2 linked regions of the Stegostoma tigrinum genome follow. The protein of the gene in region 1 purifies or fractionates together with the protein of each later gene. This does not show direct contact. Links are inferred from orthologs where the notes say so. Each region holds a gene or a part of one and is shown on either strand. Other genes may lie near its edges.

What was found.
Region 2: the proteins of UDP-N-acetylglucosamine--peptide N-acetylglucosaminyltransferase 110 kDa subunit (region 1) and death-inducer obliterator 1-like purify together in Homo sapiens (affinity purification with mass spectrometry; 3 studies listed by BioGRID and IntAct, with this or other methods). This does not show direct contact. The link is inferred for Stegostoma tigrinum from reciprocal best matches to the Homo sapiens genes OGT and DIDO1.

The regions. Positions count from the first base shown.
Region 1 is NC_081368.1:40,712,299-40,725,692, forward strand, and holds the start of UDP-N-acetylglucosamine--peptide N-acetylglucosaminyltransferase 110 kDa subunit, read right to left. Parts: upstream 5,399-13,394; 5' UTR 5,059-5,398; coding exon 5,022-5,058; intron 1-5,021. UniProt on the Homo sapiens protein: Catalyzes the transfer of a single N-acetylglucosamine from UDP-GlcNAc to a serine or threonine residue in cytoplasmic and nuclear proteins resulting in their modification with a beta-linked N-acetylglucosamine (O-GlcNAc).
Region 2 is NC_081372.1:5,456,016-5,468,676, reverse strand, and holds the start of death-inducer obliterator 1-like, read right to left. Parts: upstream 4,941-12,661; 5' UTR 4,775-4,940; intron 1-4,774. UniProt on the Homo sapiens protein: Putative transcription factor, weakly pro-apoptotic when overexpressed. Tumor suppressor. Required for early embryonic stem cell development.

The sequences.
Region 1 (13,394 bases):
CAAACCACGCAGGAGCCTGATCTGGAAATATATTGGCACTCCTTCAATGTCGCTGGGTCAAAAATCCTGGAATTCCCTTCCTAATGGCATGGTGGGTAAACCCACAGCAGGCACACTGCAGTAGTTCAGATGGGACAGCTCACCACCACCTCCTCAAAGGCAACTAGGGACAGGCAATAAATACTGAACAGCCAAAGACACCCACATCTCAAATTAATTTTAAAAATGCACCAGCTGCCTTTGTTTTCTAGGTGTTACAGACCTTAATCTTGGAAGATACCGCTCAAGGAGCCTTAGTGAGTTGCTCTAATACAGCTTCTAGATGCTACATGCATTGCTGTAGCTATGTATCAATGGAAGAGCAAGGGAAAGTGCTGGATGAAAATTTTAAATACAGCCCACCCAACAGTTTCTCTTTATCTATAGCTGATTACTTCTTCAAAAGAACTCTCAAATATTTGTTTGACAATTGCTCTTTCAAACAAAAAAAAATCCATGAAGACTGCTGATATCCTGACCTTTCATAAGTGATATTGGGCAGGTAACAGCCATCAGAACTCTTACTGGGGAGATGACAGCCTAGTGGTATTATAACTGGACTGTTAATCAAGAGGCCTGGAATCAAAATTTCCCATGGGCAGATGGTGAAATTTGAATTAACAAGATGATGATTATGAGTCCCTTATCAATTGCTGGAAAAACCCATGTAGCTCATTAATGTCCTTTAATAAAGGAGACTACCATTCTTACCTGGACTGGCCTGTGAGAGACTCTAAACACACAGCAATGTGGGTGACTCTTAACTGCCCTCTGGGCAATAACATGCTACCTAGCCAGTGATGCCACCATCCTGTGAATGAATAAACATTTTGTTGCAGAAAACAGTATCATTCTTTCTGTTTATGCTACGTTCCCCATATTGTTATGGCAAATGTGTGGGAAGCCACTGCCAGTTTGCACACCCATTCAGTACTGAGATGAGGGGAAATTTCTTCAAAATTGAGAGCCTGGGGAATTCTCTGTTGCAGAAAGCAGTTGAGACTGGAACATTAAAAGTTTTCACTAGGGAGTTAGATACAGTTCTCAGAGATAATGAAATCAAAGAATGAGGAGAAAACGGAGTATAGTGGTGAAGTGGACGATCAATCATGGCCACATTGAATGAAGGCGATGTTTAAAGGGCCTACAACTGCTATTATTTTCTATTTCTGCAATACAACTATTGCACCTCAAGACACAGCTAGAAAGACTTTGTGGGCAATTTCAAGATAATTGTTAAAAAGATAGCAGGGTGAGGTACCCAAAGAATGATAATAGTAAATAATGCTCTATGAAAGACCCCTGGTGCTTTAAGATATCAATATATTCTGTCATACTGAATGTTCTTCTTCGATTCAGGCATACTTCTAGATAAAAACTGCCAAAGCTTTTCATCTTTAACTCACATGACAATCTGTCAAGATTACCAAAACAATATTTTTTCTGAGTGTGATGAATGATTAACAGAGGACTAATTCACCAATGGCACCATCCCCAATAATCAAAGTTCACTTCCAATTAATCAGTACTCTCCTCTCATTCAGCAAGTGATGTTCTGGGGGTTGTTGCAGTGAAATAGTGGTGTCCCCATGCCCAGGCCAGGAAATGGGTTCAAGTCCCACCTTCTCCAGATGTCTGTAATAACCCCTCTGTACAAGCTGATTTTCTTTTACTTTTGGTTAACCTTAAAATTGTCCTGGGTGCAAAATGAAAGCTTCATTAAATTTTTTTTTAAACAGCAAGACATTTAGACATGTCTTCAATCTGCACCCAATGACATGTAACTGATACTAGTTATCATGCATAATGACGATGTTGAACACCCTGGCTTTCCAAATGTAACAAGAGTACTACTGTTCTACTTCCCTTCAAAATACTGTACTCTGATACATAAAGGAAAAGCATAGTTGCAAGCACCCAGATAAAAATGGCATTTAGACTAATTATGTGATTGGGGCCAACAAGCAATCAGGTTAATAGAACAAGAAGAAGTTTGGCATTGAAGCACTTTAATTAAGTGCCAAATGTTATCCCTGGTCCCTGTCCAATTTAGAAACCCCTCAAGTAAGGAAAGGAAAATTGATGAGAGCTGGAACCTCAAACACTAATCAATTTGCACTAGAAGTACCAGTATATGGGTGCCAGGAAAGGTTCAGCAAATTCAAGTACAATGCACTCATATCTAAATACGTAGACAGCCATTTTTCATCCATGTGTTCTGAATTTAGCTATCAGAAAAATAGCAGCATAAGGCATTAACCACTAAACCATGCTTTGGCAAACAGCAAAAACATTCCGGGGAGATAAAGACCTGATTGCAAGTTTAGACGCAAGTACATTCTGCAATCCTAATCCTAAAATTTAAGAATGCTGAATGGCCTGGATAGAGTGGACGTTGGGAACATGCTTTCATTGGTAGGGGTGACTAGGATCCAAGGGCACAGCCTTGGAGTAAACGGAAAACCTTTTAGAACAGAGATAAGGAGAAACTTCTTCAGCCAGAGAGTGGTGAACCTCTGGAATTCACTGCCACGGAAGGCTGTGGAGGCCAAATCACTGAGTACATTTAAGGCTGCAATAGGCAGGTTCTTGATTATCAAGAGGATCAAGGGTTACAGGGAGAAAACAGGAGATTGGGGTGAGGAATTTATCCGCCATGGTTGAATGGCAGAGCAGACTCGATAGGCTGAACGGCCTAAATTCTCTTCCTCTGTCTTATGGTTTTAATCTCTGGAGCGGAAAATCCTAAACATGACATTTTTGTATCTACATGACTACCTTGCTGTCTAAAAATACACTGTCAGGAAATGTTGCCTCTACATTAAGAGTGATAGAATATCCACAATGTGGAAAGTGGCCATTCAGTCCAATAAGTCTGCATCAACCCTCTGAACAGCACCCCACCCTGTGCTCATAATCCCACATTTACCACACCTGAGCCACCTAGCCTGCATATCTGTGGACTGTGGGGCCTGACAGAAACCCATGCAGACATGGGAGAACATGCAAATTCAACATTCAGTCATCCAAGGCTGAAATCAAACCCAGGTTTCTGGTACAGTGAGGTAAAGTGTTTACCCACTGAGCCCCATGATGCTGAATTACATTTACCAATAGATACTAATCCCATTTAACCCTGTGTACAGCTGAATAATGCTGACGGTAGCAAACTCTCCCTTTTCCACCCCATTTGTGCACTCACACCACGATCATTTATTTATCTGACCATATGCTCAGCTATTAGTGAAGTTAGATAATGTGGGATTCAGGGTGAGCTTGCCAATTGGATACAAAATTCGTTTAACATCAGACAGAGGGACATTTCACGGATGGGAGACCTATGACCAGCCCTTTTCCGTAGGGATTGATGCTTGGTCCACTTCTGTTTGTTAATGATTAAATGAGAATATAGGAAGCAGCCTACTACATTAGCAGATGACACCCAGATTGGTATTGTAGTGGTCACTTGCTATCTAAGTCACGAAGAGCTCTTAGTCACTTAGGACAATGGGATGAAGAATGACAGCTGGAGTTTAAGCGGGATAAATGTGAGACTTTGCATCTTGCTAAAACAAACAAGGGCAGTGCTTATACAATTCAAAGTAGGGCCAAGTAGCAGCATTGCAGAACAGAGACACCTAGGGGTTCAGGTACATAATTCTTTGAAGTTTGCATCACATAAATAAAGTGATTGGGAAGATATATAGCATGGTTGCTTTCATCACTCAGACCTTTCACATATAGGTATTGGGATGTCATGTTGAGATTGTACAGGATGTTGGTGAGGCCTCTTCTGGAGTACTGTGCCAGTTCTGGTCTCCCCATTCTCGGAAGGATATTATTAAGCTGGAGTTGGTTCAGAAGAGATTTACCAGTGCATTCCCAGGAACAGAGGTTTAAGTTATTGGAGAGGCTGAATAAGCTATGATTTTTTACCTTTTTACCATTTTACCACAGGTGGTGAGGGGGGGGGGGAACCATACAGAAGTTTATAAAATCATGAGGGCACAGAGGAAGTGAATTGCAACTTGTCTTTTCCCTAAGCCAGGGGATTTCAAGACTGGGGGGGGTCACATTTTTAAGACGAGAGGAGAAAGGTTAAAAATAAAAGACATGAAGGGCTATTTCTCCCCCTTCCCCTCCCCCAGATTGGTTCATGCATGAATGACCTTTTAGAAGAAGTAGATGGATGCAGATACAGTTAGTGTTTAAAAGCCACCTGGGTCAGTACATGAATACGAAATGTTTGGAAGAATACGGACCAAGCACACACAGTGACTAAGATAACAAAGCATGACGCTGGATGAACACCGCAGGCCAAGCAGCATCTCAGGAGCACAAAAGCTGACGTTTCGGGCCTAAACCCTTCATCCGGATGATGTGTGATTTTACAGACTCTATGCTTATTGATAAAGTAAGTCAAATTTTAATTAAAATCATTTATGCTTAAAAGTTAGCAAATAACAAGAGACTGTTCAAAAGTGCCAAAGTATATTGAAACTTGATTGGCCGCTTCAAAAATCCTTAGGCCAATAGGCCAACATACCCAGTTGTACTGATCCATGTTACGATTTCTGCGCTGGATTAATTACGCTTTCATGACACTGATCTCACCGAAACTCACCAGCCAGGTTTTTTTCCTTCCTCCATTGACTTGGTTTCTTTACGCATGAATACCTTTGTGTATGCATCATTGTGATAAACAATATCCAAAGGAACACTAATCTGACCGGTTCTCATACACAATAATAGCAGTACTCTCAACTAAGTAATCTGGGTCGTAACATCCCACACAGGACAGCGGGGGGAAAAATGCAAGTCGGCCTCATGCTTTTCCTACGCGTTTCCTTCTCTTCCGGGGATTCAACCGGATTTGTACTGACGGAACTGCTCCACTCTACTTCAAATCTCGGGTTTCATTTCATAACAATCAAATGGTACCAGCCGAATCTGCATCGATACTCCCCTTCTATGTTTCTCACCTGTGCTGTCTGTTACACCCCCAACCGACGCCGCCATGCTCTCGTTCGGGGTGCAGCTCAATCCAAGCCGCTTCCTCTTTCGGGGCAGGTTTTAACTGGGTTTCGCTTGTGTCACTGTCCCAGTCAATCGATGGCTGAGTGCCGAGGCCTGAATATTCTAACGCAGTCGATCGCGGCAACCTCACGTCAATTTGCCTTCGTCACCACAGTTTGTGTGAAATTTCACAAAAAGAAATATTTACTGCTGCTAATGAACATCGCGCGTTTGTCGGCCGTCAACTCAGTTTCTCTTCTCTCTGGTGTGCAGATGGCGCCCGGAATGAGAATTCTAATCGGGACTACTTTCGCGTCAAAGAGTCTCTCTACTCATAAAAACCCGATCACAATTCCAGAAACGACATAATTCGCAAGTCTTATCGGAAGAGCTTTGTAACTTTATTGAGTTGTCATTACGCATATTCCTTTAGATATTTCAAATTCGGACAGCTTTCCAAATTCATAGGACTCTCGCGGAAGGACCAGACATTAAAACGTGTACTGCACTCATCAATGAATCACAATAGGGTATCACTGCGCATCAGCATTGCGGCGGCTGTGGGGATGGAAGCGCATGCGCTTAAAAACCATTCTGTGGAAAAGTCGAGAATGTTCACGTGAGTTCCTGGAACGATGATCGTGACTATCTTAAGAATTAGTGATAGTTAACTAAGAGCCACGTGGCCTTAAAGGGTGTGATGAAACATAAAAGTGTTTTATTTTAAAATTAAGCAGTTATAGTATGTCGCTCGTCGCTCTTGTTCAGCGTATGAGTATAAATGCAACGTCAAGGCCTGAAGCGATGCGAAGCATGTTATAAAAAAGATTGTTATTTGAGTGGATGTGACAAATTATTTTGCCCACTAATTCCTATATTTATATTGCCTTATAATGTTAAAAGCAGGGTCTTAACATAAGTGATTTTGGTACGAAATTTCTTGTGATCGCTGATAATTTATAATGAAATAATAAGTTTTCTTAAATCATGTTGGTATTATTTTATCTTACACGTGACTAAATGTGGTGGGGGCGTGGGTGGGGTGGGGGTGGGGGTGTGGGTCCAGCCAACTGGTGGTGATAGATGGGCAGTAGTAGTAGGTGTGACCTAGTTTGTTAATGGGAGGGTTCAAAGCAGTTAGTGGTTGGAAGAGAGGTGGCAGGAGATGGGTGGGAGGGTTACTTGAAATTAGAGAACCGTGTTCAGTCCTCTAGGTTGTAGGTGCCCTGGCAGAAGATAAAATGGTGTTCCTCAGATTTGCTTTCTGAATTGTGACACCAAAGGAGGTAGAGAAAGCACGTCAGAGTAGGACAGGAGTGGGCAGTTGAAGTGGATGGTGACTGGCTGGTTAGGTTGACCGTTATAGGCTAGGTCAAGATGCTCGGTGAAACAGTCACCTAGGCTACATTTAGTCTTATCGATTTAAAGAAGACGACATTGGGAGCACCGGATGCAGTAGACTAGGTTGGAAGAGACTGTTTAGGGCTCTGGCTGGAGGTGAAGGAGGTGGTGTTTACAGGTGTTGCATCTTTTACAGTCATAGGTGAAGGTACTGGGGCAGGGTTTGGGGTGGTTAGTGAGCAGTGTGGTGTGAACTAAGGAGCGGCAAAGGGAATGGTCCTTGCGGAAGGCAGAGAGGGGTGAGGAATGTAAGATTTTTTGGATGGTGGGATCTAATTGGAGTTGACGGAAGTGTTTCAGCATGATATGTTGGATGCAGAGGCTCTTGGGGTGGAAAGTGAGGACATGGGAAACCCTATTTTTATGATGTTTTGGGAGGTGGTGGTTTAAAGCTGTGGAGCGGCGAATGGAGGCAACAAGGTGGAGGGCTATCTGGATGAGAGTGGGGAAAAGAACATTACTTGAAAAAAGACAACATCCTGGATGCTTGGGAATGGAACATCTCATCAAAGCACATAAAATGGAGACAGAGGAATTGGGCAAACGGGATGGAGTTTTTGCAGGATACAGATAGGAGATGGTGCAGTCGAGGTAGCTGTGAGAGTCTGTGGATTTATAGTCAATGTCAGTCCGTAAACATGCCAGAAATGGAAACTGAGAGGTTGAGAAATGGGAGGGAGGTATCTGAGATGGACCAAGTGAATTTAAGGGCTGGGTGGAAGTTGTTTGCGAAGTCAATGAACTGCTCCAGTTCACCAAGTGCAGGACGTAGCACCGATGCAGTCATTGATGTAGCAGTGGAAGAATTGGGGAACAGTACCGGTGTATGTACTGAAGAGGGACTGTTCAACATAACCGACAAAGAGGCAGCAGCAGCTGAGGCCTATGCAACACTCCTGTGGATTTGGAGAAAGTGTGAAGAATTGAAGGAAAAGTTATTTAGGTTAAGAACTAGTTCGGCTAGGCAGAGGAGGGGTCTGGATGGGTCTGTTTGAGAGGAAAAAAACTGAGGCCTTGTAGGCTGTCATTATGGGATACAGACATATGTAGGAATTGCATGTTACACGCTGTGATAACAGGTTATCATTCTCATACACTGACTCTCTCTCCCTACTACTCCCAAATCTGCCAAGTATTCAGAGAATGCTGTCATTTGACCCATCAATTAAGTACAAAGCAAATCAGTGATTTATTTTCACTCTATCTTCAATTCTTTGAACCTGAATCAACCTTCTTGCATTCAATTTGCTAAGTCCAAACCAGGCTCACGACATTTAACTATGTACTTGGACTTTGTGAAATCCATGACAAATAATGACATTTTCTGAGGGAACATATTTTGATGCATCTGCAAGGGCAGCACAAATTGAGTATGGTCAACAAGTAAAATATGTTGAATTTTAAATTAAACACTGACTGATCAGCTCTGTATGTAATCGAGTAGCTGCAGGTGGAGTCTGGACAGTGTTTACTAGCATTTACCCTCTCTTTAACTTATCCCTACTGCTGTGCTTGCTTATGGTCCCTCACTCTTTCCTGCTGGTACAGACAAAACAACAGTGAACGGCAGCGAAGAGTTTAGTGTAGGAGTAACAGAGATAGCAAGAACCGCAGATGATGGAGTCAGAGATAACACAGTGTGGAGTTGAGGGAACACAGCAGGCCAGGCAGCAGAGGAGCAGGAAAGTTGATGTTTTCTTCAGAAATGGGGAGGGGGAAGGGAGCTGGGAAATAGATAGAGAGGACGATTGGGCTGGGGAAGGTAGGTGGGATGGTGATAGGTGAGTGTAGGTAGGGAGTGGTGGCTAGGTGGGAGAGAAGGTGGACAGGTTGTGTCAGGTCAAGGCAGCAGGGATGAGAGGGAGGGTCAGACATGGCTTGAAGCCTGGGGTGGGGAGATTTTAAAACTGGTGAATTCTGTGTTTAGGCCATTGGGCTGTAAGGCTCCCAAGGTGAAATGAGGTGTTGCTCCTCCAGTTTGTGGATAGTGTCATTGTGACACTGGAGGTGGTTCAGGATGGACATTTCAGTGGGAAGGGGAGTTAAAATGGTTGGTGACTGGAAGGTGTTGTCATTTGTCACGTACAGCGTGCAGATGCTCTACGAAATGGTCTGTGACGTACAGAAGGCCACAGCGGGAGCCATGGATACATTAGACCAAGTTGACAGAAGTACAGGTGAACCTCTGTCTGATATGAAAGGTTTGTTTTGGGCCTTGAATGGAGGTTTAGGGCAGGTGCAGGAGTTCCTGCAGTTGCAGGGAAAGGTGCCAGGTGTGTGGGGTTAGTGGGTAATGTGGAGTAGACGAGTGAGCTGCAGTGAGCGATCCTCACAAAAAGCAGATGGGGTGGGGAGGGAAATATCTCTTTGGTTGTGGAGTCAGATTGTAGGTGGCAGAAGTGGTGGAACGTGATACACTGGATGTGGAGGTTGGTGGGCTGATAGGTGAGGAGAAGGGGGAATTCTGTATTTTTGTTGGGAGAGGGGGGAGGGGTTTTGAGGGCAGAAGTCCAGGAAATGTGAGAGATGCAGTTGATGGCATTTTTGATCACGGGGGGTGGGGGGGCCTGGGGTGGAGATGTTGCGGGCCTTGAAATTGGAAGACATCTGGGATGTTTGGGAGTGGAACACTCCATCTTGGGAGTAGATGCAGAGGAATTGGGAGTAGGGTTTGCACTCTTGCAGGAGGGTGGGTGAGAGGTGGTGTAGTCTAGATAGCCATGGGATTCATTGGGCTTGAAATACATGTCAATTTCGAGGCAGAAATGGAGACAGAGGGGTCCAGGATGGAGAGGGAAGATGGACCAGGTAAATTTGAGGTTCAGGTGAAAGGTGTGAATAAATTTTCTGAACTACTTGTGGGAGCATGAGGCAGCACAATACAGTCACCTATGTAGCAGAGGAAGGGGGTGGGATAGTGCCAATGTAACAGTGGAAAAGGGACTGTTCCATGTATCCTATGAAAAAGCAGGCATAGCTTGGGCCCATGAGGGGGACTAGTTGGGCCTGCGGGAGATGAAGAAGCAGAGGACTTTTAGGTCATCTGTGTGGGGGATAAAAGTGTATAGGGACTGGATGACCACACCGAAGATGAGGTGTTTTTTTTGGGGGGGGGGGGGGTCGGGAGGACAGATTCAAGGTAAGCAGAGATGAATTCAGCATAGCAGTAATTCTTCTTTGCACCACTCCTACGGTGTATTATTAGTTGCAGGCTGAAGCAAAATTGTATATTAGATTTCTGAGTGAAACCTCAGCATCAGTGCCAAATGTTTGTGCTGAAATTTTGAAGGGATGCACTAATCCCAATATAAGCATTTTCCAAATGTCATATGGACAAAAAAACCTGTCATTTATGTTAACAATGAAACGCAACAAACTTTCATTGTTTGCAGGGTTAAGGACACAGACAACAGATATCACAGATACAACTTTATTTAACTGTCCTGTATACCAAGATGGCCAGACAGGGTGAATCAGAGAGAAAAAAGAGAAACAAAAACAGAAAGGAGGGTCACTGGGCTTAAAACGTTCACTCTGCTTTCTCTCCTAAGATGCTGCCAGACCTGCTGAATTTCTCCAACAAATTCTGTAATTGTTTTTGATCTTCAGCATTTGCAGTTCTTTGTTTTATTTAAGATGATGATGGGGTTTGGGACCAACTTCATGTGTACACAGATTTGAGAGTAGCATATAACTAAGGATGAGTGTAATCATTATTTCTCTAAACTGTTCAGCCACACTGCTGTCACTGGTGCTACCCAGGTATACAAGTATGAAGATAAACAAAAAGGTAATAAAGTATATGGAAAGCCCACAACCTCCAAGTTATCCTTCAAGTCACTCCATCATCCTGAATTGGAGATACATCACTATTTCTTCAGTGCTGCTTTAAAAAAATCCTGCCTGTCCCTCCCTAACAGTGTTATTGAATATTATTTCAAGAGAGCAACTCACCACCACCTTTTCAAGGGCAATTAGAGATGGACAATAAATGCTGTCCAGTGATGCCAACATTCCATGAATGTGTTTTAAGATCAAACACACTAGACCCTAGAATCTACAGTGGAGTGACAATATAAAATATCCAAGAAGAACAGGAATTGAAATAAATAATATTGTGATGTAACTTAAAGAGGTTATATCCAGATAAAAGCTGCATTCCGAGTCCATACTTTCTTTACATTTGTTGTCAATGAACAATTTAGAGACATTTTAGCCAATACCAGAAATCTGAAAAATGCATTTCTAGAAATACAGGCCAATTACGATCTGACAGAAAAATGGTTTAATGTTTCAGACAAGATCTTGTCAATCAGCAGTCTTAAAAAAGGTCAACTTTGATGATCAGCATGGAATCAAAATTTTACAGTGCAAGAGGTAAACATTCAAGGTGGTATACAGTACCTTGACATCATGGATGATAGTCTTTGGATTGCTCTCTGCACACTACAGACTGGAAGGTTAGAAGAGAAGATTAGAAAAAATACGTGGCTGTAGTGCGAATGATGTAGAAGGATCCACCTGAAGAAGAAGCAGCGCTTTGAAAGCTTGTGATTTCAAATAAACCTATTGGACTATAACCTGGTATTGTGTGACTTCTGACTATGTAGAGGATTGAGTGCTTGCACTATTGAACCAAACTGTGAAGCAAATGAAAGTTGTACACAGGGAACAGTCATCACTTGAACTAAAACTCCATCAAAGTCCTGAAACAACAGCCAAAAGGAGCATCTAATACAGTAGGATCTGGGGTAACCTGATTTAGAACTAAAGAGGATGATTGATTATTAAAGCTTTTGAAATGAAAGGCATGACTTAATTAAATGTAAATGGGGTCAGAGTAGAAAGAGAAGCAATCAATTGTACTGATATATAAAACTTAACACAGCAGAAAAATACACAAGGCTGAAGATTCCAGTAATTCAAGAGCCAAAACTGAATTATACACATGTGAATGCAAAACACAGTAAGTCAGAAATTACAGTATCTATGGAGAGACATGATATAGTATCCATAACAGGGATGTGACTTAAGGTTGAACCAATTTATAACCTTAATACTGTATTGCTTAAAACATTCTTAGGAGAGCTGGAAATGAAGCAAGTGAGGTAAGATGGCAGTTTAATAAAACATTCTGGAACAGCACTGAAATACACAGTTGTTCTAAGACAGAGTTCAGAAAATATGTAGGGAAATTGTACATTGTTAATGATCCAAACACATACCATAGAATAAAGTTTGGAAGATTTAGTTATGCTCAAGCAATAAAGATAACGTAGATTGTAATGAGGAAAATATTTTAGAATGAATATATGACTGTTGCTTGATCAGTATGTATTTATTTCAATTCAGTTTTGGAGAATTTCAGGGGAAAAACTAATTGACATGACAGTAGGAGAACTGTGGTTTAATAATCATAACGTAGTTCCATTCAAAAGGATAATACACACTCAAAGATTACAGCATATTTGAAGAAAGGCAAAGTTTAATATGATAGGAAGGGGTCTTTTCAAATTAATGGGCAGAAAAATTAGCGATGGCCCAGTGGTTCAGAGTAGAAATCTTTCAAGTGGATCATGGAGAGCACAAATTAATATCAAAAGGGTAAAAGTAAAAATCAAAATTGAATTAATTGCATAAATAGGTTGATTAAAATTAAACAATCCTAACAGGCATGCAACAAGTTAAGGATAACATGGAAGATATTAAACATCTAAAAATTCACATAGCTAGTTTTCTTAACAACACAATGATAAAAGCATTAAATAATGAGGATACATTCTAAACTGAGTCTTATATTCTAGAATGAAAGTGATGATCTGCTTGGTGATTACTAGTTGATAAAATACTTATTCAGGTGGAGGATGTCCAAGGGGTATAGTCTTAAAATGAGTGATAGGCTGTTGAGAAATTATGTCCAAAAGCACTGTCACGGGATGGAAAACTGGAATACTCCTTGTAAACGATTCCCTCCAGTCTTTTCAAATGCATCTATGAACTACATGATTCCTGATGAAGGAGGAGGTGATGTACATAAATACAAATAATTGACAAAGAAGCAAATGCCTGAAGAAGAGCAGCATAAGGAAAATGCAACATACTGAATCTGTACTTATAAATTTGGAATTCCTATCAACTTGTAACAATGAGCACACAGCTTGTTTGCGGTAATCAAAGTTCAACTGAACTTACTCAGATCTTACTTCCAAGCCTGTAACATGAAGAATGTGGTATGACTGCTATTTTTAAAGGAACTGAAAAATAAAAAAGCTGCAAGATGTTGCTTTAGATACGAATAAATATTGATAAGGTTAAAGTTATTGATGAATTAGTAACAAAAGTGCCTCATGGGCTGGTGCCTCGAAACCAAATAGTTGGCAGAGATGAGATTATTGTCTTGTTAATCTTGCGAGGGATGGACAAGACAGAAATGACCCCAAATTTCCAGCTCTTTGTCAGTTTAACACAGCACAGTGTTCCCATACTAACATTTTGGTCTCAGCCTGTTGCAGTGCTCTAGAGAAGCTCAATGCAAGCTACAGGAACACACCTTATTCTGCTGAGGTACCTTAAGCCCTAAGGACTCAATGTCAAGTTTAATAATTTCAGAGTGAGAATACCTTCGTCCATGTTCATTATCCACCCTTTACACCCCCTAGTGCTGTTCTGTCTTGGTTGCACCCAGAACAGCCACCATTTTCAGCCATTCATATTTGCCATTGGCACCCATTCAGTATTTCTGTATTTTCCAACATCAGTAATTCTTTTGACTCCCTTTATTTCCCTCTCTCTACTATCTGGTTGACTCACTCTCAGTTCTCCCTTTGCCTCCTCCCCCCACACACCAAATCGGCACAAATACCATCACTGAAGGTGGGGAGAGCACTGGGGTGGGTCTCGGCCCGAAATGTCAGCTTTCCTGCTCCTCTGATGCTGCT
Region 2 (12,661 bases), on another chromosome or scaffold:
TAAACAAGAGTCGGCCATGTGGCCCTTTGAGCCTGCTCTGCCATTCAGTAAGATCATGGCTGATATGATTTTAATTTCAACTTTACATTCCTGAATAGCCCCAATAATTTTCCATTTCCTTGGTTATCAAGAATCCATCTACCTCTGCCTTTAAAATATTTAAAGGTCCTGAATCCACTGCCCTTTGAGAAAGGGAATTTCAAAGACATTCAACTGTCAAGGAGAAATTTTGTTTCTCCTCATCTGACTCAAATTGGCAACCCTTTATTTTTAAGCTATAAACCCTAGTTCTAGAGATAGCAAGAACAGCAGGTGCCAGAGTCAGAGACAACACAGTATGGAGCTGCAGGAACACAGCAAGCCAGGCAACAGAGGAGCAGGAAAGTTTGCATTTCCAAGTCAGGACCATTCCACAAGAGGAAACATCCTTTCCACATTCATCCAATCAAGTTCCCTTGGTATCCTGTGTTCCAATGAAGTCACCTCTGACTCTTCTAAACACCACAGGACATAAGTCTAGCCCTTCCTGTACATACATCACACAAACTGCCAGAAAAAATAAGTGTACTAAAATCCAAAACTCACACCATACATAAAGGAAATAAGTGGGAGAAATGGCACTGGAGAAAATCTTGAATTTAAAAAATATCAAACATACAGGTAGACACTGCAATTAGGACAGTCAAAGTTCCAATCTACACCAATTTGAATTTGTCACTAAGTTTAAGACTGTCTGCTAGCTGAACTTCTGCTTCTAGTAGCAACCAAACATATTCTCCACAATATCACATTGACACAGTAAAGAAATACCTGCAAGGTTAAGATTCACAGACAGCAGCCAGAATCTTATCAACTATCACAACCATATTACTGCATCATAAGGACGAGTGTGTGCATTTTCCCCATTTAAGGTCCAAATGTAATTTAATATAACATTAGATTTTCAGTACTGGATGACGACTGGAGCAAAACAACGCTAACATATTACAGCAAATCACTATCACAGCCACATTAAACAATCTCAATTTCATTCGCTATTAAATCAAAATACAACACAGCAGAATTTTACAGAGATAGTAGGGACTGCAGATGCTGGAGATTCTGAGATAACAAGGTGTAGAGCTGGATGAACACAGCAGGCCAAGCAGCATCATAGCAGCAGGAAAGCTGACGTTTCGGGCCTAGACCGAAACGTCAGCTTTCCTGCTGCTATGATGCTGCTCGGCCTGCTGTGTTCATCCAGCTCTACACCTTGTTATCTCAGAATTTTACAGAAGTAGTACAAACAGCGAGTGCACTGCTACCATACCACCACATTATCCTTCTGAAGCACGTGGTACTTAAACAAACTTCGGGAATGTTAGTGGTCAGCAACTTGATCGAACAGGACTTTCCTCCACCTAAATAGCAGGGAGTCAAAGCCACTGATGTCAATCCCTCTGTGGCAACAATCTGAGGCATAAACAACTTAGTAACAAACATAACACTAGAATTACAAAGTTGAGCTTCTAATTATCTGTGCCATCACCAAGACCAGGCGGCTGCATCTCTATAACAATCAACTCAATCTCTGCTTCATCAGCCTCCATCAATGTTCAGTAAGTGTGTACTGTCAATGAGATGCACTGAAGAAATTCACCAAGGCTTCTTTTGCAGCACCTTCCACACTGATGACCACTACTAACCAAAAGGGAAAGGCCAGCAGATACATGGGAACACCTCCACCTGCAATCAGCCCTCTGTGCCGCTCACCACCTTTGCTTGGAGGTACGTTGCTGCTCCTTCAGTGTCATGAGATCAAAATCCTGAAAAACCCTCCCTAAAAGGCACTGCGGGCCTACTTACCCCTGACTGCGGCAGTTCAAAAAGGCAGGTCACCATTATATTATTGAAGGCAATTAATTCTTAGTCACATTCCATGAATGAATGAAAAAAAAATTGCAAATGAAGTAGTTGAGAGCTTGTCTCCTTGTCTGCCTTCCACAGGGGCTGTTCCCTCCAGGACACCCCAGTCCATAATTCCTTCAGCCCCAACATCCCCCCCACAGCCCTATGACACCTTTTCCCTGTAAGCATGGAAGGTACAACACCTGCCCATTTACCTCCTCCCTCCCCAGTATCCAAGGGCTCTAAGCAACACTCCACCTGCACTTCCCAGAATCTAGTCTACTGCATTCGCCTCTCACAATGTGGTCTCCTCTACAGTGGGGAAACAATGCATATACTAGGTGACCGCTTCACAGAACATCTACGTTCTGCTCACAAAAAAGATCCTAAACTAGCCGTCACCTGCCACCTTAATGCACCACCCTGTTCCCTGACCAACATGTCTGTCGCTGGCTTGCTGCAGTGTTCTAGCAAAGCTCGTTGCAAACTAGAAGAACGCCTGATTTTCTACATGGGGACCCTGCAACCCTCCAGATTCAATTGAGTTCAATAATTTTAGGACCTAAAAACTCTCCCACGTCCCAGCCCCCAACCCCACACACCAGGCCCTGTTACCAGAGCCTGCCATGACACGCTACCTGTTATTAGTCATTAATAGTCCCCATTAACATCTATTCACCCTCCCAGCCTGATCATTATCAACTCTGTCGAACGGCTCTTCTCTCTTTCTTTAGGCTCTATCTGATTATTTACTCCCTACCCCATTCTTTTCCCCTTTTTTTCTGCATATAAACTGACGTTTTCCCAGTCACCATCAGTTCTGAGAAAAAGTCACCAGACCCAAAACATTAACTCAGTTTTTTTTCTTCACAGATGCTGCCAGACCTACTGAGCTTTTCCAGTGACTTCTGTTTTGTTTCCATGTTTCATTTTTTAGTTGAGCGGTTGAGTGAGTTGGTATTGAAATGGAGTTAGGTACCATTATTGCTCATGTGAAACTTGACTAGGGAGTAAAAATCTCACTGTACTAGTCATAGCAATCATGCTGCTGCATTTTTACCACACTGTGGTACACTAATAAATGGATCAGTGAAACAGTTACCTGAAATTTAAATTACTGAAAAACAGTTTCAGTTGACAGATTAGGTGATATACCAGGAGGTGGTACAGTATCTAGTATTGCGGAAGAAATAATTAAACATAATTTAAACCCTTAAGCCACTGCTCTTTTCTAGGTATGGCCAGCTGATCTAAATAGTTGTTATGGGCAAGTATATGTGCGAATAATTTAGTTGCACGTATATACTTGAATCATGATATTCATGGAAATGTAGCAGTTTCAACAAATATACTATATTACATTGAATTGAAAATTGGGGAGAGACTACATAAACCATGTCCCAAGGGTCCAGAATTACTGCATATTTCAAGCCAGTCCTAGAAAATACTTTTGCTGTCCAAAATATTTAATTCCTACAACTACAACAATTATAAACACATTATTTCAGAGATAGTAGGAATTGCAGATGCTGGAGGATATGAGATAACAAGGTGTAGAGCTGGATGAACACAGCAGACCAAGCAGCATAGGAGCAGGAGAGCTAGAACTGAAAGTCTCCAATAATAGTCACGAGTCAAATCAGAATTTACGACACAGGAGGCAATTCAGCCCACCATGTACAAGGCAGCTCTCAGGTCAGCTAGTCTCACACTGGCTTTTGTTTAAACTGTAGCCCTGCAATATCTCACTTCTCAAGTGTTCATGCAAATCCCTTTTGAAAAAAAATGTTTGAGTTTGCTTCTAGCCTGTCTTCCAGGTCCTAACCACTCACTGCATTTACATTATTTTGCCTCTTGTTGCCTAAATCTGCACCCTCCAGTTCTCAAGTCTTCTATCAATAGGGACCATTTCCTTCTGTCAATTGTCTGCACAATCCATACTTTTGGACAGCTCTATCAAGTCTCTTCTCAAACCTAGGTGCACATCCTAGCTCTAATCAATCCCATGGAACTGAAATCCCTCAAATCCCAAAGTATGATGCCCAGAACTGGAAACATTTCAAATTGTTTGAGTAAAAGTTAGCCATAATTTTCTTGGCTCCCTACCATATGCCTCTTTTTATTGAGCTGAAGATCATTTGTCGTTTTCACCAATTCCTCAAGCTTGTATTTGCGCACACATGCTGATAAGTCAGTCAACGTGATTTTTTTGCTGCACAGGTGCTCCCTGCTGAGTTTTTTTTAAATTTGGCTACTATTTTCCTATTATCAGCACATGAATTGGTTCATCAGACTCAGTAACCTAAAGTCAGTTTCAGGAAAGGAGTAAAGAGACAATCTTCAGTTGTTTATGTAAATCTCTAGAAGTATTTGCCTAAATGTTCATGTCAAATTCCGGGACGTGGTACATATATCCTTTGACAGCTTCCTACTGGTGTAATATAACCCAAACCCACGTCCAACAGGGCCAAGCGCAAACTAAACGTCCCTCATCATATCTGCACGTAGCATATATTTAATCCGATTCACTCCCGCATTATGAGCTATGGATTAATCCGAGATAAGTAAAACGTAAAGGCTGTAAAGCAGATATACCATCCCACAGAGACTTAAACGGGGGGGGGGGGGGAGAGAGGTTGACTGGAACAGCGGATGGTTTATTCCAACGGTTCAGCCTTGCTAAACCCGCGCACCGGAGGGGCCGAGCCACCAACAATACGGAAGAACCGTCTTCGCAGGTTCAGAGTTGGCCATACAGACGTTCCAGGTCCGGGAACAAAGCAGCTCAGGCCGTTCGAACATCGAGTTTTCTCGCGGCCTACCGTGCACCCTGGGGCCTAACTCCCAGCGCCTTGACACGGGCCACCAAATGCGCAGCGCTACTCACGGGGTAAAGGGCTGTAGATAGTTTGTGTCTTTTGTTTGTCCACGACACTCCGGGCTAACAACTGCGTTAGCCTGGTCCCGGGTCAAAACCGACACGCGGCTGGCAGTGTCCCCTCAATCCGAGAATAGGCTCCGCCAGAGAGACGGCGCCATTGCGAACACCCCACGTGACACCAGCCCATGTGACCGAGGGGCGGGGTCAAGCCCAGCGCAACGCTGCAAGCTGCACAGTCCCTCGTTGTACCTAAGGTTACACGTATATGCATCACATCTTTTCCCTTTTGCCTACCAATAGCATAATATTGTAGAAACTACTGCCAGCAGCTTCTAAAATAGTTGCCATGACTGTATCACACGTGCAACACTAGATATTTATTTTTCCCTTTATTCTTTCGTGGGATACCCATTCCCCGTTGCCCTAGTAGCTTCCAAATGCCACTTCAGGGGGCAATTGAGAGTTAACCACATTGCACTGGTCTGCAGTCACACGTAGGCCAACAGAATAGCTTCATTCCCGAAAGAATTTGGTAATCGAATTTGGTAACAACAATCAATGGTAATCATCATGGTTACAAATGCTGATGATGATAAAATGTGAGGCTGGACGAACACAGAAGGCCAAGCAGCATCTCAGGAGCACAAAAGCTGACGTTTCGGGCTCTCTGATGAAGGGTCTCGGCCCGAAACGTCAGCTTTTGTGCTCCTGAGATGCTGCTTGGCCTGCTGTGTTCATGCAGCTTCACACTTTATTATCTTGGATTCTCCAGCATCTGCAGTTCCCATTATCACTGATACAAATGCTGATGGCCAGTTTTACTTTCCACAGAAAGTAACTGAATGCAAACATGGGATTGAACTCATATCTCTGGACAGTCAGAACTCAGGCGACACCAGGTTATAGTATGCTCCTTTAGGAGCAAAGCTCTGAAAACTTGTGATTTCAAATAAACCTGTTGGACTAGAATCTGGTGTCATTTAACTTCTGATTTTGTCCATTTCAGTCCAACAATGGCATTCCCCATATCATATACCTGGGCCTCTGGATAACTAGTCTAGTGATATCATCATTGCCATCATCCAGGCCTTATTACAAGAAATTAGTTTGGATCTATATCGATATATATATATATACACCATAAATAAAGCTGGAAATACCACCAATATTTAATTACTTTTACTGCATATATTAAAGCAGAAGCAACATCATTTAAAAGATTTAGTTTCCATGGGGTTCTGCTCTTAGAATTCTTTATGTGCTTTCTCATACATTTATTGATATTTTGGCACCTACTCGAATTCTAAACATAAATCCCATTTTTGCAATATTAAGAAAAATGCTTCACTCCACCTGGCAACCTCACTTCCTGTTCAGTTTCCAAGTACTGGTAGAAAGTCTTAAAAGAAAGTCGGGTAATGTATTAACATGAAAGAATACCTGAAATATCTCAAAATCTTGAATTTGAAGAAAATGAATGTTTGCATTATATTTTCTCAAAGGATAGTTTTAAGTATTAAAAACTGAAATTTAGCAAATGCTAAATAAAAATTTCTTCTTAGAAGTCAGAAACTACTTAAGCTTTCTGTCTAAGGTTTACTTTCAAATGGCAAAAATAATGGTATGAAGTCTATTCTCTAACCAATCTAATTTTATCTGACTCTTATCCATCTTCCAAATGATAAGTGGTCTAGAATGGCATTTGGACAAATGCACGGGTTTAAAGGTATGCAACAGTAAAGTATTCATGTTGACCTTCACAAAGCTTTCTCAGCTGTCAAAATAGGTACTACTAAAAATGGCCACCATGACCTTACAGACTCTTACCAATTGGAGTAGGAAAAAAATGCTGGACAAAATATAAGCAGTATCTTGTGGATGCTGAGGATCTGAAATAACAACAAAATGCTGAAGAAATTCAGTAGGTGTGGCAACAGCTTCTGAGTTCATAGAATCCCTACAGAGTAGAAACAGGCCCTTCAGCGCAACTGGTCCACACCAACTCTCAGAGCATCCCACCCAGACCCATCCCCCTATAACCCACCTAATCTATATATCTCTCAACACAATGGGCAATTTTTCATGTCCAATCCATCCCAACCTGCATATCTTCAGGCTGTGGGAGGAAACCGGAGCACCTGGAGGAAATGCATGCAAACACTGGGAGAATGTGCAAACTCCACACAGTCACCCAAGGGTGGAATTGAGCCTGGATCCCTGGGACTGTGAGGCAGCAGTGCTAACCACTGACCCACTGTGCCGCCCTGAAAAGTTTTATTGAACCCGATGATAATTCTGTTTTTCTCTTCATTGATGTGTCAGACCTGCTGAAATACTGAAACAATGTGCAAATCCAGGTTTATATTGGGATAAAGCCTTTTTCTTTCAGTCTGAAAATCTCAACTGATCACTGCCTGATTATTTAATTTCACCCAAGAATTTCTCTGTACTTTAGAGGATCTTGCTGTTCCTTCAGATCTCCCAAGGCCAAACCAAACCACAACATTCAGGAATTCACTTTGATTCCCTTGACGTATGAGATTTCATGAGTTCTTCCAACAGAATCTGGTTTTGTAACTTTTCAACTCTTCCCCAAGCACCTCATAATTGTGGACACCTCACCTGAAGTGCAGAAATCCCTGCATATTTACTTCATGACTCCATCAGAAAAATACCTTTGATTTCCAGTTGCCTACTGCTACTGGTCCATAGCTTCTTTACTTCTCCTGACAGTCTTCAACCATCGATGTTATAAATGCTCCCAAGTGTACTAGCTATTTCTGACAGAAAACAGCAACTCCATCAGAAACTAAGATAACAAGGTGTGGAGCTGGATGAACACAGCAGGCCAATCAGGATCAGAAGAGTGAGAAAGCTGACATTTCGTGTCTGGATCCTTCTTCAGAAAACTGAATTTCTGATGAAGTGTTCAGACTCAAAACATCAGTTTTCCTGCTCCTCTGATGCTGCTTGGACTGCTGCGTTCATCCAGCTCTACACCTTATTATTGCAGATTCTCCAGCATCAGCAGTTCAGACTATCTCTCCATCAGAAACTACCTTGGTTTCTATTAGCCCTCTACCTACTAATCCATTGGTTCTTCACAGTTGTTGACCGGTTTTCAATTACCTGTCTTAAATTTGACCCCAATCAGCCAATGACATGTTCCTGAGAGATAACACACAAGTAAATCCAAAGAAAAGAGTGCATCCTGCATAACCAATTTCCATAGCAACTTGGCATACCTGAGGTGTTCCAGTTAAAGATCCAAATGAACTAAATTTTACCTTCAAAAAAATCCCTTCGAATCTGGAAAACACATTAATAATTTATACCCTGTGAAGGAGGCAGCTGGAAACCCATAATTTTCATCTAGACACGAGGAGGTCAACCATTATGAAGTGTTAATCACTTCTAAATGTGTATTTAGCACATAAATATGGAACCTTTCTTTGACCTGCAATTAACTCCATGCCTTGTTTACCATCTTCTCAGTCCAGGTTTTGTTTCTTCCACTTAGAATATGAAAGCTAAACTCTTAAAACAGATTCACAAAACTGCATATTCACAATAGCCTGAACGCTTACATTATGATGCAATGGAAAGCAATAGGATGAAGCTGCAGAGATTGGTGCAAACATCCTAGACAAGTGATTGAAGAGGACAGGTGAGTGGCAAGACAGCCTTCAGGCATGATGTTGATGGATAGTAAGAAGAAAAAAAAGAGGAGGAGAAAGTCACAATGATAGCTTTTTGTGTAGAATGATAGAGATTATACCTTAGGAGATGGACATATAAACATGTAAAGGAAGTCCAATGAATCTGAGCAATGGAATTGTTGGGAATTACAGAATGGTGTGGTCAACTATTTGGAGATGTTAAAGATAAACATTACTCCTTATGTTTCATAGAATCATACAGGACAAAAGAGGCCAAAGATATACTACCACCAACCAACAATAATCCCACATTCCTGCACTAGGCTCAAAGCCTTGAGCATGACGGCATTTCAAGCACTCATCCAAATACTTTTTAAAAGATTGTGAGTCTCTCACTTCAGCTATCCTTCCAGGCAGTGAAAGTTTTCCTCAAATTCTCTCTTAACCGCCTGCCCTTCATTTTAAAATTATGCCTCCTCGTTACAGACCCCGCAACTAAAGAAAACTCCTTTTTTCTATTCACCCTGTACATGCCCCTAATAATCTTATATGCCTCTATCAGGATCCCCCTTAACCTTTTCTGCTCCAAAGAATACAACCCAATGTCATTCATGGCTCCAGTAAAGGAAGAGAACGCAATGGCACATTGAGTTTATAGGAACATAGAATTTTGGGGCAGCAGTAGCTCATTTGGCTATTTGAGCATGGTTCACCGTTCAATAAGATCATGAAGGAGAATGATGTGGTATTGGTCTAAACTCCAATTTTGCTTATTTGCACCCCTTGAATCACTTCTCGATCAAAATTGATCTCACACGGCTTTGAATAATTATGGATAACAAGGTGTAGAGCTGGATGAACACAGCAGGCCGAGCAGGAAAGCTGATGTTTCAGGCCTAGACCCTTCGTCAGAAACGTCAGCTTTCCCACTCCTAAGATGCTGCTTGGCCTGCTGTGTTCAACCAGCTCTACACTTTGTTATCTTGGATTCTCCAGCATCTGCAGTTCCTATCATCTTTGAATAATTATGGATTGATTAGAAGTTTTGTATTTCGTTACAGGATGCATAGATCTACAATATATTTTTCAATTAGGAAAAGATGACAGCAGTTGATGCAGCTAAAAAGCAGAAGTCATTAACAATATCAGCTACCACAAGGAAAAGTTGTGTGGACGAGAGGGTATCATTAAGTGGGTGTCATTGAAAATGAGTCTGGAGAGATGAGAAAATTAGAAAAAGTAGTAGCAGCAGTCTGGAGCTACAGCAGTTGGGACACTGCAAAGTTTGCATACAGGAAAAAGGAGATAATTTTCTATAAAGGTGAGGAAGATGTATCGCGGACTTGATTTTATGGCCCTCTGATTTGAGGCTACCAAGATGGGATTGCATCCAGAAATGGTAGAATTGGAAATCAGTGAGGGATTTTACTGAAACAAAGGTATTAGAGATGGAAGCTTTGGTTCTAAGTCATCAACAACAACTGAGATGTTATACTGGATGCAAGCAGAAAAATAGGAACTAGGAGAAGTATTCTCACTCGAGGACAAATGGTAAAAATAATGAATTCAGATGGAACAGGGAATGAGTGTGTCATGAAAAACAAGGAACTAGTCAGGGAACCATCAATATCAATGCACAAAGGCCACAAAAGGTGGGTACTGAAAAGCAGAAATAGATTTAAGTGAGTTCATAGCCAAGGATGTGGATTACTTGAAAGCAAAAAAAAATCAGAGAGGGTCAAAGACATTTAAATAAAAATAGAATCCAGAATAAAAAAAGTGATCAGTGAGCTAGTAAGGAGAAAAAAAAGAGGAAAAAGTCACAATGGTAGCTTTTTGTGTAGAAGTAGCTACTGATGGATGATCCAAAGAAGTTAACCTGCATTGTTATTGATGCTTCATCACAATCTCCCACAGCTGATGGAAGGTCTTAGATCTCTCAAAATTTCTGTGCTTTATTACAATTTCTTCATGTACATTCTTTTGATGGACCAGGATATTCTGAATATTTCACTCCCTGAACTCTTAGAAGTTATTTTGTAGTGAGACATATTATACAAGTGTTACTGCTGTGACAAGCCAACTGAATCAGATAATGACCTGGAGGCAATTTATCTCATATGCATGTTAATTACAACAAAAACAATCACAATTACACTTTGGAAATGCTAAATGTTTGCAAAACCTTTAGACATAGTTTTTCTAATAAATTCAATAAGATGGCCGATCAATCAAAAGTGATGCTGTTGAGAGATTTCAATTATCTATTAAGAACAGGAATTGGCGAGGAATTGGAAAAAACCACATTAGTTGGGAAGTTGCTAAGAAGCATCTATTGATGTAATGAGTCATGTCAGCAAGAGTCAACAGTCCTAGAGTTGAGGAAACACTTTAATGGTTTGGGCCACTCCATTATTAAATTTTGAAATATGGAGCTCTAGCTGGTTTGACATTTATAGTACACTGATGCCACATTTTGTATTGGCTCAATTTTATTAAACAATCGAATGTAGATCAACGGAAGGGGAATGGACAAAATTCTAGGTCTTGAGATCTGAGTGATGCTAGCAAAATTATTCCTATCTCTAGCTGCCATGAGAATCCAGTGGGAAGGATCTATTTTAACTACTGAATGCTAAACTATAAACAAGTAAAAATATATGCTTAAGCCAGGCTACTTATGACTGCTTAATTTGTTGTTCTTTTCTTTCTCAGTAGATGAAGAAGCAGGAGGAAACACGCTGCCATCTTCTCTATCGGCAATATTCGAGACCCGAGATCAGGCCCTACTTCCAGATGATAGTGATTTATATGTACTTCTTTTATTATAGAACAACGTATTAACTGCTCACAATGCAATCTCTTCCACACTGGGGAAACAAAATGCAAATGATCATTTTGTAGAAAATTCAATTTCGTCTACAAGCATGATACTGAACCTCTAATGGCCTGCAATTTTAATTCTCCACTTTGCTCTCATGGTGACCTCTCTAGTATACTGCATTACAGAAAGAACAAGAACGTTCAACACAAGCTCAAAGAATGGCACCTAATCTATCATTGAGTCACTTTGCAGCCTGTCAAATTCAACAATGAGGTGAACAACTTAAGACTGTATTCTTTGCCTTAATTTGTTTTCTTTCCTTTAACTGTTTAGATCTTAATCTTGTTTTACTTATTTTTACAGTCACATCTACTTCAGACACATCTGTCATTTCTTTAATTCCATTATTATTCCCTTTGGTCCTGCATAATAGGCTCCTTTTTTTTAATGTCTCCCATCTTCTGCTCTTCACAGATGTTTCTTTGTTGTTTTTTCCCCTCTCGCCTCTATTTTAACCACTTAAAACCCTATACATTTCTGTATCATCCACCCAAGATAATTCTCTTTCCACAGACATTGCCTGATCTGTTGAGTATTTCTTGCATATTCAGTATTTACTTCATTTTTCCAGCCTCTAAAGTATTTTCTTTTAGTGTTGCAATCTTGGTGAGATTCTGCAATGTATCCTTTAAATCATATATTCACAGCCACTGTATTCAGCCTTTTGCCATGTGACTCTAATTCAAGGGAAAAGCACTGGTCAATCAAATTACTGTATGCTAATAGTATTCAGTATCCTATGTTGTTGCCAGTGTCTTCACCCACATGAATGGGGAACATGCCAACACTCTGACTTGAGCCTTGCAAATGCTGAAGAAACTTTGAACAGTCAGAAAACCAGAACTGCTGAATTCCCAGCCTTTGTCTTGCTCGTGTAGCCATAATGTTGATATAGCTAGTACAATTCAGTTTCTAGTTATTTAAAAACATTGATGATAATGCATTTGGTAGGACAGGCAGGCTGGTCTTTACCTTGACTAAGTTGATAAATTTTTGGAACTTCCATGGCACGTATGTAACTGTAACTTATCAACAAGAGCTGTTACAGAATTGCATGAACTGCTTTATTATCTCAAGATTGTGAATGGAGTTGAGCACGGCAGAATAACTGTAAACTCAATGTTACAATGAAAGTCAATAAGTATCAGTCGAAACTGGTCAGGTCTGTATTTTCCTGAATAACTCTTGCAGCAATGTTTTGGAGTTGAGATGATTGACCTTCAAAACAAATGTCCTTGGTGTCAAAGTGTGAAGCTGGATGAACACAGCAGGTCAAGCAGCATCTTAGGATCACAAAAGCTGACGTTTCTGGCCTAGACCCTTCATCAGAGAAGGGGATGGGGACAGGGT